2 linked regions of the Caenorhabditis elegans genome follow. The protein of the gene in region 2 interacts with the protein of the main gene of each other region in a pairwise test. Each region holds a gene or a part of one and is shown on either strand. Other genes may lie near its edges.

Region 1 (6,290 bases), on a different chromosome or scaffold from region 2:
GGGTGAAGAGCGGTGCGCGAGCGTGTGCGCGTTGCGTGTGTGTGTTGAGTGTAGCTTTTTGTGAGCTTTTCGCTTGAAATTATTTGATTCTAACTATTATAAGCTAAATCAGGTAGCAAATGAAGGCAGAATAAGTTTCATGTTAGTTCAAAACGAAATTTTAAAAAAATTTATAATTTTCAGATTGATCATGGATTCTCTCGATTTCAGCACATCGGAAGTTCGGATATGGTGGCATCGTCTATCAGAACTGGTCAGTGTAAAAAACTTCCCAAATTGTCTTTAAAAAGCGAATTCGTCACAATCAAAAAAGTTTCCGTTTTTTTTTGTTGATTCTCAGTATTTTTCAGATAAAACTGAAAATAAAACATCGCAAAATCGAGAAAAATGAAAGAAATGTCCGAAAAAAAGTCGAGAAAACTATTGTTTTATCCAAAATATGTTGATTTCGATGAGAAAAATAAGAAACTTCTTTTAAAAAATAAAAAAAATCGGAAATTATGAACAATTCTTTATTTTTTAAAAGAAAAATTTAGGTTTTTTTAACAACGAAAATTGAAAAATCGATAAATCAATATATTCTTTTTCGGATTTTTTTCGAATTTCGGAAAATCGATTAAAAAACGAAACAAAAACGAGAAAATTAGATTCACTAAAAAAAGAAGAAATTTCGTTTAAAAAATTTAAAAAATGACCGAAAAACGGAAATTGAGAGATGAAACTAACAATTTTCCTATTTCTCATCAGAAAATTATCACATTAATTTAATTGCAGCTGTTATTTAAATTAAATAAAACATTTTAACCGTTTTTTCAGGTATACCTCGAGCGCCTAGACTCGATACGGTAGAATATTCCAACTATGAACATGAACCTGAAACAGATGAGATTTCTCGAGATGGAACACCATTTTGGTCAACACCAATTCCACCAACTAACAAAGAATTGCCGGTTTCCCCTGTATCACAATTGGACATGACGAATTCAATCAAGAGCAGGTAGAATTAATAAATTAGAATTTTCATTTCATAATTTTTTTTCAATTTCAGAGTGGAACGTGTTGATGTAGAAGTTAAACTGGAACCTTGCAATGACGAAGATGATGAATTTAGTGAAGAAGTTGATGAACAAACTGCTGAATTGGAAGAACAACTAGCAACTGAAGCTATACGGACTGGTTTGGCACTTTTTGGAAAAGTTTCCCCATCTCCAAAACGAATGAAATCATGTGGAAGTTCTGGAAGTGTTTGTGGAGATGTAGTCACAGCGATTTGTGAGATTTGTGGAATTGGAATTCGCCTGAATTCTGGTGGTTCTAAATGGAATTTCTTTGAACACGTAATGATGAAACACTCCACTCATAAACCATTCAAATGTTCCCAATGTCCATATCAAGCTGTACGAAAAGTTCGTGTAAAGCAGCACGGACAATCACAACACAATTCGGAACACGAACCTGTGAATATGATGTGAGTTTTTATTTTGAATTTAAAAAATTTTAAAAAAATTATTTTTTAAAGATTTTAAAAATTGTGCGACAGCTCTTTTTTAGTTGAATCACTAATTCACTGAGATTATTTTTTTTTATCTAATCTCACTCGAAAAGCATGAAAGCCGGTTTCTGTTTTAATTGTATAATTATTTTAAAATGTACGCAATTTGTTTTATAAATTACGAAAATTGCTACTAATGTTGCAGCTGCACCGCAAGATTTTTTTTTTCCATTCTATTTAAAATGGTAATTTTATCCAAATGTGAGGATAAGCCAAAAATTTATTTTTGGCATAAACCCGCAAAAATAGATTTGAAATTTTGAATAAAATGTAAATTTTAGAAATTTTTTTTTCTAGATCATATTTTAGACTAAAAATGTTTCAAAAGAGCATATTTAATTTTTTTTTTAAATTCAATTCTGTCGCAAGATCGCTCCATTAAAAAAAATTAAAAATGTTTGAATAAAATCCAATTCAGACGATGTCCATTTGAAAACTGAATTTAATTCGTTTCATTCCAAAATAAAAAAATCTTACAAAGTCAATTTTTTTCAGAACACCAGAAGTACGAAAAGAATGGCTGGATACAATGGCAAAGTGTTTCCCGAATCATCAATATGGAAAAGAAGCAAAAATTTAATAGTTTCTTTAAATTTTTTTCGTTGATATTTATAATATTTTCTTTTAATTTTAAGTTTTACAACGCAAATTTTGTTCTTACTCGATTTTCAATAAAATCGTCGGTCTTTTTATTATTTGTGGTAATTTCTTTTTTCTTATTTAAATAGTTATTTCTATTTCTGAATATCTTTATCGTGCTCTTGTAATTCCTAATAATATAAATAATATACATAGGTGTCGTCTTCGTACGATTCGAACCCGGCCGGGATGCCGAAATTTGTGGTCATCGAACTGAACGATGATGCAGCAACGATCGATCTTCTCAGTTATTGCGTGAGTTTTTTTATTTATAAAAATTATCTAAAATATTGATTTACTCATTTTCTCTGGTTTGAAACTTTGCATAGAACTTCCAATTGTACCTCTGATTCCTTTTTCGGTCCATATTAACCATTGGTATCCCCTAATTATTCGAATCGACTTCCTAAACAAGGGTGCCGCTGAAAAAATTGTCGGTTTTTTTTGTTGAGAAAATCCAAAAAAATTCACTTTTGAAAAAAAAACGAAAAATTCCGTTTTTTTTTTAAAGAAAAAATCGAAAAAAAATTTGAAAACACTTTTCTTATACGGAATTCAAAATTTAAGTTGATTAAAGTTTTTTTTCAAACAAGTAACCGAGATTTTATTATTTTTTTTGGACTTTACAATTTTTTAAGTGTAATTGAAAATCAATAAAAACTTTTTTTCTGAAAATCGAAAACAAATTTTTTCCGTTTTTTCGCTCTTCCAAAATCCGAAAAAAAGTGCGGTCTGATGCTAACCAAGGATTTCTTTTAAAAAATGTCAATTTTTCTGTTTGAGAAATAATCGAAAATCTAACTTTTTTTTGAGCAATTTTTGTTAAATTTTGATAAATTTCGAAAAATAAATTTTTTAGTTTTTTTGTCTAAAAATGCCAATTTTTTTGAGAGATAATCGAAAAACGAACTTTTTTGGTTTTCCGAAAAAAAAATCAAAATTTAATTTTGTTGAATATAAAACACAAAAGAAAATATAATTTCCTTCTAAAAAAAGCCCAGGCGCTGAAATTTCGAGCAATTTTTGAGAAATTTCGAAAAATCAAAAAACCAAAATTTGTTGAATTTCCAACAAAAAAAACCGAAAAAGCGACACCCTTGATCCTAAAATGTAGGGATTCAACATAACCTATAACTTCTATTCTCTTAGAAATCAGATTTTTGAAGTATAGACTAGCTTGAACATCACTGCAAACATTTTTTTTATATTTCTCCTAAAACCTCTACTCTATCAATGATCTCTCAATTCCAAGCTCTTTCTTTCGCACGATGCTCATTTCGAATTCGACATATATAGCTCCTTTTTTCGGTGCTTCTCCTGTACATAAGAGATCGATGAAATCAATCGTCGTGGCGCTCTCATAAATGTGCAGAAAGGAAGCAAGAGCTGCAGCCAACTGCTGCATCGGCGTCCGTATTTTTTGTTCGCTCTGTTCCCTTTTCCATTTATGCGAGCAACACGGTGATGCTACTTTCATCGACGAGAGATAGTATATGTTGAACGGAGGATTTGAATGTTTCTGTTCACGGAGCAACCGTCCGTTTTCTTTCTCTCAGTATCATCCTCTACCCTTTTTCGAAATATTTCTATATTTGATACTGGAAATTGGTTAATTTTCGCATTTGACAGGTTTGCTCATTTATCGAGATTTTTTAAATCTAAATTCTAAAATCATTAGCGACAATAACTAAAAATATAAATTAATCAATAATTTTCCTGAAACATTAAAATTCCATTTAGTTCTGGTATTTCTGTCCGAACTAATCTTGTAATTGAATAATCTATATTTCATCACAATGTCTTTCTTTTTCTTCTATTCTACGAATACATTTTTGCCTGTACGAGCTCATAATAGAACGCGTTGGCGCCTGCCTCACTTTCAGCATCGTCCGAAGTGTACATACCTCCTGTTCTCCATCATCGTCTTCTCCCATCCCTTTCTCTTTCTCCCATACCGGGTATTGAGCGCCTGTATGCACAATGCACACAACTGACAAAACTGTACTCGTCGCGTCGTTGTCGCCGTTGTCGTGTGCCCCGGCGAGCGCAACCAACAACAAAACTGTGTGAGCGCTGTTAACACCATTTCTTCTATCACCTTCTAAGCATCCCGGTTTGAAAGCGGGTGGTAAGGTGTCCGATATTATAAAACCGCAGCACAATGCTTAGAATGTGTGTGTGTGTGTGTGTGTGTGTGTGTGTGTGTGTGTGTGTGTGGTGTATGCAAATATTGCCGGTGGAGCCGAAGCCATAAAAATCGAGCACATCGTCAGTCTGACGGTATCATTGTGCATCTTTTTTGATACGACTTTTCACTTTTCCGTCACTACACTTAACCTTAAGTCTGCAGACTTCTCTTTTTTCTATAGTATAGACTCTTTATCCCCTTATTACAATAATCGTCTTTACGAGTCCTCATTGCTTCCACTCATTGACTATCCGTACTTATAAAATGAAACTCCTTCTTATTTCTTAATTCTTTGTTCACTTCTACAAGACGCTCTTGACTCCAATTCATTCTCACGCGATTTCGCCCAGTGAGTGTCCGAAATAAGGTCAAATTGTGCATTATGTGAAGTGAGAGTGAAAGGGTCTTCTAAAGTTTTGACCTGGGATACGTCATTCTGAGATTTTATGGTAGGAAGTATTGCTCAAAATCTAGAAGAATTTTTGAATGGTTTTCAAAAAATTATCGACTAATTAAGCAGTTAAAGTACTCGAGTAGAATTTTTTTCGTTGTTTTGAGTTTTTTTTGAAAAGTTAAAAAATGTGCTATCGTTTTCTTTTTAACTCAAAGTAACGTATTACTAAATGTTCCGAAGATCCTGTTAGAGTATCCGTGTCGTCTTTTCTCTCTGAGTTTATGGTATTATGGGAACATTCGCGCACAGTGCGCATTAGTCGTCTCCGTGATCTTTCTCACTCCTCCGTAGCGCATATTATTCCAATCCATGACTTTCTCCTTCTTCATGTCCAAGGAGCGAATGCATATCTCCGTAAAGTCACCCGTCGAGGCCGCAAAGACGTACACCCGCACTTTCGGCTCGCGATGACCTAAATTCTGTGAACGGTTGGACGACGGAAGAAGTTGATGAAATGGTGCGACCTCCTCTCCGCTCTATAAATCGACCCCGATTGGAGCCAATTCAGATGAAATCGTTTTGTGCGCACACACGCTTGTCTAAATCGGATTCGTTCTACCAACGTGATTCACTCGTCGTTCAACCATTATTGCACACAATAGAATCGACAAATCGACATAGGCGCTGTAGGCGACGACGACGACGAAAACGAAGTGATGAGCGCATGCGAGACGAGGGCACCACTCAAACTGGTTTTCGAATCGCTGAGTTACAACCACAGAGGCGGTCGGGCATCACATAGCGAGGCCATCACACATTTTCATTGTGTCAGAGCCACCAATGTCAGAGGAATCGTTAAACACCGTGCATCAAACAAAAAATCAGTGGAAAGGAACGATTGGAGAGTACTGAAGAGAAGAATGGGTTGCTGTAGGAGTGAGCATACGATCAAAAATTCAAAATGTGTAGAATAGGTGTTTTGGAACTTTTTTAAATTCCAAGTGAGCTGTTTGAAGATTTAGCATTGTTTTGGAAGACATTTTTTCAAAATTATCAAATACTAAGGCAAAACAATTTCTTAAAAATTGTCTGAAAATGTGAAATTGTATCTAAAAGTTGTCATTGGCAAAATTTAAAAAATCGTTTTTTTTTGCTGTAAGGTTTAATTTGGAAAAGCTTTCAGATAATTTCAATGAAACTGGTACTCTAGTATTTATGGTAAAAATTGTAGCGATTTTTAGAAAAAAAACCTTGATCAAAGCTGTATTTTTGGCATTTTCCAAGTTAAGTAGCAAGTTGACCACTACCTTCTTTTAACAACATCTAATCACTTCTCTATGACTCACAATGAACACACTTCGTCAAACAGACGCTAGTCTACATGACCCATCTTATACTTTCACTTTTCATGTGCACAAGAATTTGGATTAGCTTTTTGAGTTGTGAGACATATGTATCTAGATCTTGAGAATCACCTGTTTTATTCTAGGAAGTTACAGTGTGCTTCTGCTTCTAAT
Region 2 (7,638 bases):
TGTTTCCATTCCCCCCCCCCCCCCTGAGCCATTTTTATCAACGTTTTACCCAATTTTTCCACAATTTTCCACTTTTTCCTGAAAATTATCGATTTTTGTGTCATTTTTGTGATCTCTCGCGATTTCTATACAATACATATCTCGACCCCACGACTTTTTTTGTAATAAATTATTATTAATTCGCAAAAATTTGAATTTCCTTGGGTCTCACCACGATTATGGAGAATTTTAAGTTGCAAATTCGAATTCTCCGTAACTTTTTACCTCTAAATCGTGGTTTTCTGGGTTTCTAGCTAAAATTTTGAGTTCTTTGGGGTACGGTAGCACCAAAAATACGCAAACACCGAATTTCTTACGACAAAATGCACAGTTTCTTTACATTCCGAGTTAAAGCCCTAGAAAATGGGACCCCGAGCTAAAAAATGACGGGAAATTCAAATTTGACAGCAATATTTTCAAAAAAATCACAGAAAAATCAATATTTTTAAGAAATTGATTTTTTCCGGGATTTTTATTGATTTTTGAAGATTTTCATTGTTAAATTCGGATTCTCCGTCACTTTTTACCACTGAATACTTTTTTTCCGGGGTTCTGAGCTAAAATTTAAATTTTTCGGGGTACTGTAGGCCCGAAAATACGCAAGCACCAAATTTCTTACGACAAAATGCACAGTTACTCTAAATTTTAAGGTAAAACTCTAGAAAATAGGTTCCCCGGGTGAAAAATGGCGGGAAATTCAAATTTGACAATGAAATTTTCGAAAAATTACGAGAAAAATCGATATTTCGAAGAAATTCAATTTTTTCGGGGGCCCGATTTTTGGAGCCTGAACATTGAAATTTGGAAAGTTGTGCATTACCCCGAGAAAATCAAATTTTGAGCTAGAAGATCGGGAAAAATGGTTTAAGAGGTAAAAAATGCAGGAAAATTCGAATTTCTTGGAAATTTTACTTGAAATTTGATAATTGTGGGCGAAATAGAACGTTTTGAAGCTTTTTGTGTAGTTTTTTTTCGGTTTTCATTCAAAACTGTAAATTTTCGATCAATAATATGAATTCTACGTCTCTTTTCACTCCGGAAACCCAATTTCCAAAGCTCAGCTACCAAATCCTGAGAAGCTGTGCATTTTGTCGTAGGAGCTGCGGCGGTGTTTGCGTACTTTTGGCGCTACCGTACTCAGAGAAAATCAAAAGTTGAGCTAGAGACTCGGCAAAAAATGTGAATAGTGGGAAATTATGCGAGGATTTCGTTTTTGAAGTTGGTTTTCCAAAAAAAAAATTGATTTTTCGGAAAAAAATTTTCCAAAAAAAAAATTTTTTTTTTACAAAATATTGTTTTCCCCGCCGGGGTAACCAGAAATGAAAGCCGTAGAGGGAGAAAAATGAAGAAAGTGACCTTGAAAGTCCCTTTCTGCCATACAAAAAACGCTCCCCTAACCAGCTGCCCCCACACACACAACTTATTCCGAGGCACACGAGAGAGTACACACAATCAAAGAGACGCAGAAATGCGGCAATTTCGAGTGTTGGGGGCGATGAAGACGGCGGAGACCATTCATTTTTGCCATCTGATCACTTTTCCGATTTTTTCTAAATTTTTTTTTTTGACAAAAGTTTTATACAACTCGGTAAATAATTTTTGTACGTAGGCTTACTTTGAGGTCTTATAACTTTGGACTCAAATGAACTGTCAAATTTTAAAGTAAATTGCCTGAAAGATAAAGTTTTAACGCAAATTTTGGTAAAATTTCACCAAAATTCATTTGGTAGTTTTTGAGAAATTTAGGTTTTAATTGAGAAAATAAAAATGTTGAAAATTTTTTTTTTTAATTTTTAAATTTTTTTTTTTTGCATTTTCCAAAAGTTTAAATCAAAAATTTGATATTTTCTGAAAGAAAAATAAAAATATATTTAACGCTAATTCTGACAAAATGTCAAGCAATTTGCACAATTATTCTTTGAGATACTACAGTTTTACCGAAGAAATTTCATTTTTCAGTAAATTTTTCAAAAATTTAAAATTTAAATGGGTTTTCTGAAACTTTAGGGCAATAACACATTTTTTACAATAAAATTTTTTTAAAAAAACAATGAAAAGTACATATTTGTCAAGTTAGAAAATTTGAATTTTCACCAAAATTTTTTTTTAAACTTTTTTGAAATTTTTTTTTAATCCTTGAAAAAAATTTAAAAAGTTCAAAAAAATGTCTTTTCATCAGAAAATTTAATTTTTATTACAATTTGGTTATGTATATACTTTTATTAATATAAATTTATTGATATCCTCAACAGATATATGCTTTCAAAGGTTGAACTGGACATGGTGCATCGATCAAAAACTTGGACAGCTTATATCTCAGTTGTCATTGTTTTTATCAAAAAATCGATAACTAATAAAATGTTCATTATGAACTTCTCTATAACTTTGTAGTTGAGCACTTTTCCATATCTCCAAAATTAACAGAGATACTAGCCGTCAAAGTTAGAGTTAGACATGTTGCATCGACCTTTCCTAACTTTGACAGCCCATAACTCGGTTAATATTGAGCCAAAGGTTGTAAACTGACAAAATGTTCATCATGTTTTTCTCTATAACTTTGTTGTTTAACATTTCTCCCTACCTTTAATATTAACCGAGATATAAGCTTTTAAAATTTAATAGTACATTTTTCAGAATGTCCGACTCCCCGCAGAGCTGCAAAAAGCCGCGAACTCGGAAAGAAACTATTCAAAAGCGAGAAACACGAAGTAAGCATGAAAAACGACGAAGGGAAGAGATGAATGAAGTGATTTGTGAAATGTCGACACTTTTGCCCGAAGATATTCGGGCTCATAAGCTGCGAAGAGTGGATCAGAAGCCTCGTCAGCTGGACAAATGCTTTATCATTGGGAGTACTGTTGATATTATTCGGAATAGTGATTATAGTGAGTCTACAGATTCAAATTAGTAATAATATTCTAATTTGGAATTTTTTTTTAATTTTGAAAAAATTTGGAAAAAAATTTGAAAAAAAATTTCGAAAATTTTTTCTTTTTTTTTTGCAAATTTTTTTCCTAAATTTTCGATTTTCAAAGCTTTTTTCTTTGTTTTTTACTCTAAAACTCGGTAAAACAACTCTATTTCCTCCCGAGAAAAATATAAATTCAACCTATTACAGTAACCCTGATCCGTTTCGTGGCGGGACCCAAAATTTCAAATTACCTTCAAACCAAGGCATGTTGGGTGTCATTTTAAAGCAATCATTGAGCTAAACTCAAATTTGAAAGCCATTAAGCTGAAAATCTCGAAATTTTCGGAATTTTCAGTCAATTTCAATTTCCTCCATTTTCCAGAACCACCGCTGCTCTCCGACCCGCTCGTCCAGGATATTTTCAGCCTGACCAACTGTTTTATGGTTTTTCTGAACAATTTTATTGTCGTGGATATTAAGGGAGACCATCAGGCAGTTTTTGATATTGAAAAAGTTTGTTTTATTGATTTTTTTTCGATTTAAAAAAAAATTCAAAAAGCCATTAAATGGGCAGAGTTACAGGCCTCTGAAAATAATTGTTAGGCTTAGGTGTAGGCTTAGGCGTAGGCTTAGGCTTAGGCTTCAAACATTTTTTTGGGATTAGGCTTAGGCTCAGGCTTAGGCTTAGGCTTAGGCTTAAGCGTAGGCTTAGGCTTAGGTTTAGGATTAGGCCTAGGCTTAGGCTTGGGCTTAGGCATAGGCTTATTAGAAAAAATGGGAAAAAAAATTCTCAAAACATTTTTTTTGGAATTTAATTTTGTAAAATTTTCCAAATTTTGTCCCAGACGGGCGTGACAATCAAATGCACACTTTTTTAGTTGACAACTTTTTGCTAACCCTTAAATGGTAGCAACCTTTAAGCTTCAGTAACTCCGCCCATTTATTGGCTATCAAAAAATTTTCAACCGACAAAAGCTTCACCATGAAAAAAAATCTGCAAATTTTTTCAGTTGACAATTTTTTTCTAGCTTTTCTAGATTTGAAGATATTTGAGTTTATTTTTTTGAAAAAAAAAAATCCCAAAATTTTTTTTGTGGGATTTCATCTTTTTATAATTTTTAATTTTCCAAATTTTTTCCCATACAGGCGTCCCCAATTAAATGTTCCTTGTAAACAAAATGTCGTCATATTTTCGGGGAAATATTATCAAGGTCACTTTTTCCCAAAAAAAATTCGATTTTTTCGGACTGTGTGTCAGCTGACTTGTTTCAAGGTGAACTGGTGGTGGACCGGGGGTGGGGGGGGGGGGATTTGGTGAATCATTGGGATTTTTTCGGTTGGAAAATGTTTTATAACATTTTAGATAGTATAAAAATTTAGAAAGTTTTCGAAAAAAGTTTCAAAAAAAATTTTTTTTTTTGGACTTTTTCTGAAAAATTTTTTTTTTTTTGTTAAACTAAATTTTTTTAAAGTTAGAAATTCTAGAAATAAGTTGTAAACTAACAATTTTTGTCAAAATTTTTGCAAAAGATTTGAATTTTTCGCTAGTTGATAACTTTTTAGTAACCATTAAATGGGCGTAGCTGCTGCCTTCCGTAACTCCGCCCATTTCATGGTTATCAAAAAGTTTTCAACTAACAAAATGTTCATTTTGAAATTCTACACACTTTTTTAGTTAACAACTTTTTAATAGCTGTTTTAGTTTTTGAGATATTTAAAAAAGAAAAAAAAATTTTTTAATGAAATTTTTTTTTTCAGAAACGTATGATTGGAAAAGATATCCGATGTTTTCTGGACTACGATTCAACGTCCAAACTGTCATTTCTCACTTCCAAAGAAATGCTCAATGAGCTCCAACTCAAAAGCTTCATGGCGAAGTCAATGACGTGCAGAATAAAGGAATCGGCGGAGGTTTGGGATTAAAATGTTTTTTTCAATTCGAACAATTCGAAAAATTTAGCTTTAAAACTAATTTATTTGAATTTGGCGTGTAAATAGCTTTTGAATGACACCCATCATGCCTAGGTTCCCGCAATTTTGGGGGAATTTTCCGGGTCCCGCCACGAAAACTGGCAGGGTTACTGTAGTTTTGAATGAAACTAACTTTTTCAATTTTTTTCAAAAAAGTGTGATCACTGAGCTAACTTTGAAGAAAAAAATTAAGAAAAAATAGTGAAAACTAAGAAAGTTACAGATTTTCGAAAATTTGTGAAAAAAAATTTTTTTAAACAAAATTTTTTACCAAAAAAAACTTATTTTGTCAATTTTTTTTTAGCTGAGAATCACAATTTTACTCTCAGCAACCCAGAAAACCTGCAAAACCTGGTAAAACCAGTAAAAACAACCAAACTACAGTAACCCAGAAAGTTTTCGCGGCGGGACCCGAAATTTTAATCATTCACGGAATATAGGCATGATGGGCCTTATTTTGAAGCTCTGGACGTGCTTAATTTGAAAATGTACGAGTTTTGGCTCAAAATCGTGATTTTAACCAAAAAAATTAGTTGTTAAAAAATTGAAAAAATTTTTTTTTCCAAAATTTCAAAAATTCCTAGAAATTTTTAAAAATCAAAATTTTTCCAGAAACCCACGGAAACAGTTTTAGTCTGTGTGCCTGATGAGCTTCCAGCTCTCCCGGTTACTGTACCCAAGGCTCCGCCCATTTTAGCTTCGCCCCTTCAGAAGACACCGCCCCCGCCGTCGAGTTTGGAGGTGAAAAGCCCGATTTTGGCGGCACTTTTGAGGCGAAAAGAGGATAATTGTGTGAAAGTGGTAAGTTATTAATAAGAATTAATAGTTTGGCGGGAAATTTCAAACTTTTTGAGAAAAAAAAAATTGAAATTTTTTTTTTCGGAACTTTTTTTTCTAAAAAATTATTTAACACTATTTGTTGAATTCCAGAGCTCCCCAAGCTCCTTCCTCTCGCCGGGCTCCTCCACCTCGTCTACAGTACCCAATGTGAAACCTACAGTAACCCGCCGACCTACAGTACCCACAAAACGGAAGAGACTACGATCGATGAATGTTATAGTGGAAAGTTATCCGTTGGATGATGAGAAGTCGGATGGAAATTCACAAAAATCGGCGAAAATTGGGAAAAAGAGGTTTTTTCTAACAAAAAAAAACGTTAAAACCTACAGTAATCTACTCCAAAATCCATGCGAGACCCTTAAAACTGAAAATTTCAAATTTAGCTCAACAAGACCTTTCAAATGACCCCCATCATGCCCGGGTTCAAATTTTCACAAATTTATTCAAAAGTTGGGTCCCGTCACGTGGGGTACTGTAGCACTGGTTTCAGCTGTGTCAGTGACATAATTTCGGAGTTTTTCCGAAGCTCTAAGCGTGCGAAAGTTAAAAATGTTAATAAAATTCTTAACATGTAAGATTTTATTGATTTTTTCAAAAAAAAAAAATTTTCTAATTTTTCTGAAAAAACTTGCAAAACTATGTAAATTTTCAGCCAAACTAGCACTATTCCAACTCCGAGAAGCACTTTGAGCCCAACTACAGTAATCCATCCGTCCACGTCACTAATTCAACCGATTCCGACACTTGGAATGAACCCATTTGACATGTTATCACCTGGTTATCAAGATGTATGTGAAAATTATCGATTTTTAATGGTAAAATCAATAAATCATCGCTAAAAACTAGTTTTTATCAATAGAGCGCACTTGCAACACGGTTTTAATTCAAATTATCGACTTTTCAACTACAGCTACTATCAATTTTCCAGATTTGGCTCCGACTACAAAGTGAGCGACTTCTGCTGGAAAAACGAATTTCAGCGAAAGAAGGGGAGCTGAAAAACCTGATGCAATTCGTTCAAAACCCCCCGTTTTTGAATTTCCCCCAATATATGCTCCCGCAAGGGCCACTTGGTGCTCAAAATCAATAGTTATGGGTTTAAATGAATAAAATAAATATTTATTTACAAAATTTGATTATTATCGACGGGAATTTGTTTAAAATACTGCAAAATATACTGGGAAATTTCCGGAAAAATCATTTCGAAGTTAATTATCATTTGAAAAACCGCCGAAAACTGTGAATGCGCAAGGAGAGGTTGCTGGCGCATTTCTCTTGTTGCTTGCGCACTCTGCGATGAAATTAATTTATTTTATTTTTTCATCATTTTCGTTGGGTTTTCATCATTTTTCAGCGATTTTTTTGCAATTTTTTTCAAAATTCCCATCAAATCTATAGTTTTTCTCACAGGAAATGGACTCGGCCGACCCTCAACTCAATCGATTCCTCCAGCAACTGCAGGCGGAGACGCAGCGTCAAAAATTCACCGAACAAGTGCACACGCTCACCGGTCGCTGCTGGGATGTGTGCTTCGCCGACTACCGTCCGCCAAGCAAGATGGACGGCAAGACTCAGACCTGTATTCAGGTAAAAATTTGGGAAAATTTGGCAATTTTCTGCAATTTTATGGGAAAATTGAAGAAAAAATTTAAAAAATCCAATTTTTTTCCGTTTCAGAACTGCGTAAACCGCATGATCGACGCCAGCAACTTCATGGTCGAGCACTTGTCCAAGATGAACGGAGGACACGTCTAAAAATCGATGAAAATCCCCTTTTAACCTTCAATTTTTCTTTGTTAACTGTTATAACACATACTGTTTAGGCTCTTTTCCATAAATTTTCCCTTAAATTCGACGTTTTAAGCGCTGGATCATAT

The links. Proteins that work in one complex are often made in the same cells at the same time.
Region 1: the proteins of hlh-33 (region 2) and lir-1 interact in a two-hybrid assay, tested with the Caenorhabditis elegans proteins (one large-scale study listed by BioGRID).

What each region holds. Positions count from the first base shown.
Region 1 is NC_003280.10:7,669,663-7,675,952, forward strand, and holds the start of lir-1 (LIn-26 Related), read left to right. Parts: upstream 1-2,342; 5' UTR 2,343-2,380; coding exon 2,381-2,446; intron 2,447-5,201; exon of another isoform or gene 5,202-5,337; intron 5,338-6,290. Other genes in the region: lir-2 (C2H2-type domain-containing protein), read left to right, coding at 184-253, 817-997, 1,049-1,468, 2,048-2,132.
Region 2 is NC_003281.10:1,852,719-1,860,356, forward strand, and holds hlh-33 (BHLH domain-containing protein), read left to right. Parts: upstream 1-2,673; 5' UTR 2,674-2,674; coding exon 2,675-2,924; intron 2,925-3,332; coding exon 3,333-3,463; intron 3,464-4,708; coding exon 4,709-4,861; intron 4,862-5,533; coding exon 5,534-5,722; intron 5,723-5,851; coding exon 5,852-6,054; intron 6,055-6,413; coding exon 6,414-6,549; intron 6,550-6,689; coding exon 6,690-6,851; 3' UTR 6,852-6,885; downstream 6,886-7,638. Other genes in the region: ddp-1 (Mitochondrial import inner membrane translocase subunit Tim8), read left to right, coding at 7,175-7,348, 7,439-7,516.